Ovis aries: one gene and its partner. Each later gene encodes a partner of the first gene's protein in a complex. Links are inferred from orthologs where the notes say so. Each region holds a gene or a part of one and is shown on either strand. Other genes may lie near its edges. The genes, in order: SYNRG and AFTPH.

Evidence for each region.
Region 2: SYNRG (region 1) and AFTPH share a complex: the UniProt entries of both Homo sapiens proteins name them as parts of the aftiphilin/p200/gamma-synergin complex. The link is inferred for Ovis aries from reciprocal best matches to the Homo sapiens genes SYNRG and AFTPH.

The regions. Positions count from the first base shown.
Region 1 is NC_056064.1:13,531,736-13,535,556, forward strand, and holds part of SYNRG (synergin gamma), read right to left. Parts: intron 3,189-3,821; coding exon 3,135-3,188; intron 2,643-3,134; coding exon 2,546-2,642; intron 1-2,545. UniProt on the Homo sapiens protein: Plays a role in endocytosis and/or membrane trafficking at the trans-Golgi network (TGN). May act by linking the adapter protein complex AP-1 to other proteins. Component of clathrin-coated vesicles.
Region 2 is NC_056056.1:43,761,650-43,765,470, reverse strand, and holds part of AFTPH (aftiphilin), read left to right. Parts: intron 1-2,965; 5' UTR 2,966-2,997; coding exon 2,998-3,821. UniProt on the Homo sapiens protein: Component of clathrin-coated vesicles.

The DNA of each region.
Region 1 (3,821 bases):
TATTTTAAGGGGCTATAGCTGCCGCAGATGGTAATTCCTCTGGTAGACCTGGGGGAAGTAAATTGCAAACCTCCTGGAAAGGATTCACCATTCTAGATGTCATTAAGAACATCTAGGATTCATAGGAAGAGGTCACAATATCAACAAGAGGAATTTGGAAGAAGTTGATTCCAACCCTCATGGTTGACTTTGAGGGGTTCAAGACTTCAGTGGAGGAAGTAACCATAGACACGATGGGAATAGCAAGGGAATTAGAAGTGGAAGTAGACCCTTAAGATGTGACTAATTTGCTACAATCTCATGATAAATCTTTAACAATGAGCAAAGAAACTGGTTTCTTGGGGTGGAATCCACTCCTGGTGATGACTGTTAAAATGACAGCAAAGAACTTAGAATATTACATAAACTTAGCTGATAAAGCAGCGCAGATTTCAAGAAGATTGACACCAATTCTTAAAAAAAGTTCTCCTGTGGGTAAAATGCTATCAAACAGCATTGCATACTATATAGAGAAATTGTTCATCGATAAAGAGTCCATCGGTAAAACAAACTTCATTGTCTTATTTTAAGAAATGGCCACAGCCACTCCAACCTTCAGCAACTACCACCCTGATCTGCCAGCAGCCATCAACATCAAGGCAAGAGCCTCCACCAGTAGCAAGATTATGACTTGCTAAAGACTCAGATAGATGATGGCTAGCCTTTTTTAATCAATATTTTTAATTTAAGTTTTTCTCAGACATTTTGCACACTTAATGGACTACAGTAATAAGGTAAACATAACTTTCCTATGAACTGGGAAACCAAAATATTCATGCAACTCGCTTCATTGAGCTATAAGCTTTACTGCAGTGGTCTGGAATCAAAACTTCAATGTCTCCCAGTGAAGTGAAAGTCGCTCAGTTGTGTCCAGTTCTTTGTAACCCCATGGACTTTACAATCTGTGGAATTCTCCAGGCCAGAATACTGGAGTGGGTAGCCATTCCCTTCTCCAGGGGAATCTTCCCAACCTAAGGATCAAACCCAGGTCTCCCACGTTACAGGTGGATTTTTTTACCAGCTGAGCCACAAGGGAAGCCCAAGATTCCGGGAGTGGGTAACCTGCCCCTTCTCCAGGAGATCTTCCTCACCCAGGAATCAAACTGGAGTCTCCTGCATTGCAGGCCAATTCTTTACTAACTCAGCTATCAGGGAAGCCCCAGTATCTCCCAGATCTGCCTATAATTAAGAAATATTTCACTCCTCTGAATGCCCAAGATTTACAAAGTCTGTGGCTTCATGTTGTCTTTTATACACTTAACAGGACACAGAATGGTTCTTTCCCTGTGGTCTCTGAATTACGGCTGAATTCTTCCAGCAAGGATGAGAGATGCCAAGGTCTCCAAAGACTAAGGATAGCTGCCAGGCATAACCCAACCCCTCCCCCAGCTTGTTCCATTCCTGGAAGAATGCCACGGGGTCTTCAGTGGTACACGCTCAGCCTACATACAGCACCGCGGCTTGTCCTTCCTTCCCCAGGGGAAGATTAGGAATTGCTGCCCACTCTGAGCCAAGTGAGGGGGCTTCTGAGTCAATCTTTCATACTAGGAAGCTACTAGAGGGAAAGATAGGCACCCCATGAGCTGGTGAGCATTTGTTTATGAGGCAGAATTATGCCTGTCTGAGCAGGAAAGAGGAACAAGAGCAGGAGGCAGGAACAAGGAGAGCTCACAGCGCTCAGCGCCTCTCACCCAGAGAGTACACGCAAGTGACCACTGTGCGCCCAGCGCTAGGCGAGGCGCTGGAAACCCAGCCGCAAGCACATCACACCCAAATCTCTCCCTTCTTGGAGGCGGATTTCAGTGGAGACAGACAGATAATAGACACAAATAACAGAAAGTAAAATATTTACGAGGGCTAGGGCTAGGGAGAAAATCAAGCAGGGAGACGGACAGCAAGTGACAGGGTGGGGAGAGGGAACACGGCTTTGAGTGAGAGGGGCGAAAAGACTTCACTTAGAAGGTGACATCTGAGTAAAGGTCTGAAGAAGATTAGGGCGAGACCAGTGCCTGTGGTTCTGGCTACAGGCAAACCCTGAGCAGGACAGGACCACAGAGAAGGACAGGGACTGAGATTTCACGTTAGACTGGGATGTGTGAGAGCTGAAGGTGGCCAGGAAGTTAAGGAATCTGGGAGGTTGGTAAGGAGTAGAAAGGCAGAATTCAACAGAGCATGGTAAGAACCGACTGGGGACCCAATAACTTAATTTTCTTTTTTAAACCAATGATTTAATGTTAATGCCTCATCTAGTTCAGAGTCTTTGATAAACCAGTAACATGTGATTTTACATTGTGTATAACAAGGACTGAGAAACCTGGCCACAGAGACCTTAAGTCAAATAGTTGTTTCTGGGTAGGATTTAAGTGTCTTATCTATAAAAGCAGAAGCTACTTAGTAAAGTCCTATGAGGCTTAGAGAGATCTAGATTAAACTACTTGACATAGGGACAACTGAACAGCCTCCAAAGCGTCATGATTTTGAAGAAGTATAATATGAAAGCACATACCTAATAAGTATTCCATCCCTTGAACTGACTGAATCACTTCTGTGCATACAGAGCTACTACTGATTCCATTTAAGGTATCATTGGCCTTCTTAATGACCTATAAAGAAATGAAATCACATCACCTTACATAATCAGGAAAAGTCATTACAAAGCAGTTTACTATTAGTAGAAAACCCAACGGAAAGCTGGAAGGTGTGAAAATGCATGACTGATTGATGTATGTAGATGACTGTGTTGAAATAAATCTGAGAATTTTGACATTGATGAACCAAGCCTCCGCTTTTTTGGAAGTGGAAAGACAAAGGTTCTCCAGCTTAAATATTATTTTAACTTGGGCAGAGATAACGATACCATTTTGTTACGCATTAAACTCAGTGACAGGAGAGGGCACTCTAAGCCAAGTGAGCGGGGTCTGCCGCAGTCGGTGGGGAAGAAGCCTCACTGAAGACGTGAGACTTTCCACCCAGGTCCTCCCAGTGCAAGGCCATCGAGGCAGAGCTCGCCCCGAGTCCCTCCAAAGCAATCAAGAAGGCGAGATGACGCAAGAGGCATGGGCAGGTGTGTGAACGCAGCCGAGTGAGAGACTCACCTCCAGAGCGCTCCCCAGACACCGCTGCCACTCGTACGCATACCGCTCATTCTCCTGAAAGTCACCGAAAGAGCTGGGTCAGGCGGGCAAGCCGGGGATCCCACCTGGGACTTCCTTCAGTTCAGAGTCCTGAAGACTTACTTTCATGTCTATGAAACTCACTAATCCAAGCGCAGTTGATCTTCTGAACCCACTAATGATGACTTTTATTGATAGCTCCTGATAACTATAACTTCTGAACACATGACTTGTGAATTGGAGGGAAATGGTTTTTAGTGGATTCCCTTCGCAAACGTTGCCTTATTTGTTCCATAAACAGTGGAAGCTTCTTTAAAGGTACGCACCATGTAGGTGTCTAGCACGAGAGCCAGGATCAAACCACAGCTTCCTGCTCCACAGTCAGGAAGCTGTGTGTGCGAGTGAGCGCACGTCTGACAGGACGGGGAGGAGGATGCTAAGAGTGTTGGCTGGAGGGGGCAGCAGCGTGGGACGAACATTAACCGTGAGGGGATCCAGCACATCTGTCCTCTCTCTTTTTTCCTTAAAGACTTTTTTCTTTAATGTGGGCCAATTTTTAAAGTAGCTACAATACTGCTTCTGATTTTTTCTTTCTGTTTTTTAATGTCTTGGTTTTTTGGCCATGAGGCATGTGGAATCTTAGCTCCTTGACCAGCAACTGAATCCATA
Region 2 (3,821 bases), on another chromosome or scaffold:
TTGCTAGTTACGAAAAAATTCACTTAGACCTTTGCTTTAGACCATATGGCAAAATAAATTGTAAATGTATTAAATGTGAAAAAAAAAACCCTGTAAAATAGAAGAAAATAAAAGTGAATATTTATTAAATTTAAAATTTAAGCCTTTATGACAGCAAAATAATGAAGAAAACTACTAATGGAAAATCACTTTGACCCCTTAAAAATTAACTTGGGAAGACAGTTTGGCTTATAACATTAATTACACACTTAGCATGTGACCCAGGCTTTGCACTCCTGAGTATTCATCTTAAAGAAGTGAGAGCTCATGTTCACATAACAGTCTGTACACAGATGTTCATAGCAGCTTTACTTGTAGTTGTAAACATACTGAAAATAATCTAGATGTCTTACATGGAGTAAACAGAAAAACAAACTTGATGACATCTATATAGTGGAATCAGTTCAGTTCAGTTGCTCAGTTGCGTCCAACTCTGAGACCCCATGAATTGCAGCACGCCAGGCCTTCCTGTCCATCACCAACTCCCGGAGTTCACTCAGACTCATGTCCATCGAGTCAGTGATGCCATCCAACCATCTCATCCTCTGTCATCCCCTTCTCCTCCTGCCCCCAATCCCTCCCAGCATCAGTCTTTTCCAGTGAGTCAACTCTTCACATGAGGTGGCCAGAGTACTAGAGTTTCAGCTTTAGCATCATTCCTTCCAAAGAAATCCCAGGGCCCATCTCCTTCAGAGTGGACTGGTTGGATCTCCTTGCAGTCCAAGGGACTCTCAAGAGTCTTCTCCAACACCACAGTTCAAAAGCATCATTTCTTTGTCGCTCAGCTTTCTTCACAGTCCAACTCTCACATCCATACATGACCACTGGAAAAACCATAGCCTTGACTAGACGGACCTTTGTTGGCAAAGTAATGTCTCTGCTTTTGAATATGCTATCTAGCTTGGTCATAACTTTCCTTTCAAGGAGTAAGCGTCTTTTAATTTCATGGCTGCAGTCACCATCTGCAGTGATTTTGGAGCCCCAAAAAATAAAGTCTGACACTGTTTCCACTGTTTTCCCATCTATTTCCCATGAAGTGATGGGACCAGATGCCATGATCTTCGTTTTCTGAATGTTGAGCTTTAAGCCAAGCTTTTCACTCTCTTCTTTCACTTTCATCAAGAGGCTTTTGAGTTCCTCTTCTCTTTCTGCCATAAGGGTGGTGTCATCTGCATATCTGAGGTTATTGATATTTCTCCCAGCAATCTTGATTCCAGCTTGTGCTTCTTCCAGCCCAGCATTCCTCATGATGTACTCTGCATAGAAGTTAAATAGTGGAATACTACTTAGCAATAAAAAGGAATGAACTGTGAGTACATACAATAACATAGATGGATCTTGAGAGCATTAAGCTGAGTGAAAAAGCCAGCTTCACAGGGTTACATATTACATAATTCCATTTAGATAACACTCTTGACATAGCAAAATTATAATGATGGAGAATAGATTAGTGGTTTCCAACAGTTCGGGTTTATGGAAGGGCATGACTATTTAGGGATTGCACAAAGGACTTTATACTGATATTATTGAACTATTTTTGCAACAGTTCTAACCCCAATTATAGTGACAATGAAATCTAATCTGCACGTATGATCGGTTTCATAAAACTGTGCAGACACCCTAAGAAAGGAAAAGTGATGAAATCTAACCAAGCTGTGTAGCTGATTTAGTAGGTTACATGGATGTCTGTTTCAGGGTTTGGTCGTGTGCCATTCTTGTTCACTGTGTTCTTACTGAGGGAAACTGGGTGAGAGCATGCAGGAGAACTCTCTGTACTGTGTTTACAGCTTCTTGTCAACCTAAGCAATTTCAAAATGGAAAGTTACAAAAAATTAAACTATGGTATATTCAGGTAATGGAATACCATTCAGTAGTTTAAGAAAATAAGTTTTCAAGCCATGAAAAGACATGGAGGAAGAACCTTCAATACATATTAGTAGGTGGAAGAAGCCAATCATACAGTATATACAGGCTGCATACTCTGTAATTCTAATTGCATAACATTCTAGAAAAAGCAGAACTATGGAGACAGTAAGAAAATCCGTGCTTGCCAGGGTAGGGGAGAGGGACAGATGAATAGAGTTAGGTGGAACGCAGGATTTGGGGGACAGTGAAACTACCCTGTGTCATACTGTAATGGTGGGTGCATGTCTTTATGCAGTTGTCCAAACTCAGAATGCTAGCACCAAGAATGAACCCTAATAAGAACTATGGACTTTGGGTAATGATGTGTCAGTGTAGGTTCATCAGTAGTAACAAACACAGCACTTCGGTAGATGTTCATAACAGAGGAGACTATGCAAATTAATGCAGGTAGTATCCGTATGGGAAGTTTCTATATCTTCTGCTCAATTCTATTGTGAACCTAAAGCTTCTCTGAAAAAATAAAACCAGAAAAAGTTAACTTGAGTCAGAAAGAAACATTGAAAAGCAAATTGAAGAAAATATATGCAGCCATTATTAAAGACAGCATTTTCATTTTATTTATAAAGAACTCCTACAAATCCACAAGGCAAGTCCTGAGTCCCCAGTGAACTAGAAGGAGAGTCTAAGAGAACAAGCAAGTGCTTGTTACAAAAGATGTACTTTTGTAAGTGTTTATTTGAAATTTTCTGGAATCCTCAGATTCAGTAATGTGCTATCAATGCCCTTGGAAACATACACTGTAAAAGGTGTTTTGTTTTGGTTTCTTTTGCCATTATATTATAGCTGTGTAATCTTACCTAAGATAAAAATAATTGTGTTTTTTTAGGTTTTTAAAATTTTTTATTTAATTTTTAATTGAAGGATAATTGCTTTACAGAAAAATAGTTTAAAAAGCAGAGCACTGTAAATTTACACTGTTTTGAAGTTTCTTTGAGAGAATTCTGAATGACTTTGTTATATGTAATCTGTTCCCTAAAAAAAAATCTTTTTTTTTCCCCAGGTGTAAATTAAGTATTTGAAAGCAATTGAACGATGGAGCCAGACATCATTCGAATGTACTCTTCATCCCCACCACCACTAGACAATGGAGCTGAGGATGATGATGACGATGAATTTGGGGAATTTGGTGGGTTTTCTGAAGTTAGCCCTTCTGGTGTAGGGTTTGTTGATTTTGATACACCAGATTACACTCGTCCCAAGGAAGAGTTTGTACCTTCAAACCATTTTATGCCAATTCATGATTTCTCAGAAAATGTAGATAGCCTTACAAGCTTTAAGTCCATTAAAAATAGTAACGATAAGGACATCACTGCTGAACTTTCTTCTCCTGTGAAAGGACAGTCTGATGTTTTACTTTCTACCACCAGCAAAGAAATAATTTCATCTAAAACTTTAGATACTTCCATTGATGGCATAGAAAGTCCACGAGATTTAAATAAAGAAGTTGAGCAGAGACAGAATGTTGGAACACCTGAAAGTTTCTCTCCAGGAGATTTTAGAACTGATCTGAATGTTGTTCATCAGAACAAGCAGTTAGAGAGCTGCAATGGTGAAAAGCCTCCTTGTCTGGAGATTCTAACAAATGGGTTTGCAGTGTTGGAAACTGTAAATCCTCAGGGAACAGATGATCTGGACGCTGTAGCTGATTCAAAAGGACGAAAGCCTGTTAGCACTCATAGTACTGAGTATAATTTAGACTATGCACCTAGTCCCGCTGAGGAATTTGCAGATTTTGCCACATTTTCCAGAAAAGAAAGGATACAACTAGAAGAAATAGGATGTGCAGTTTTAAATGATGAAGCACTAACCATTCAGGAAAACAATAAAATTAATAGAGTCAATGAACTGAATTCTGT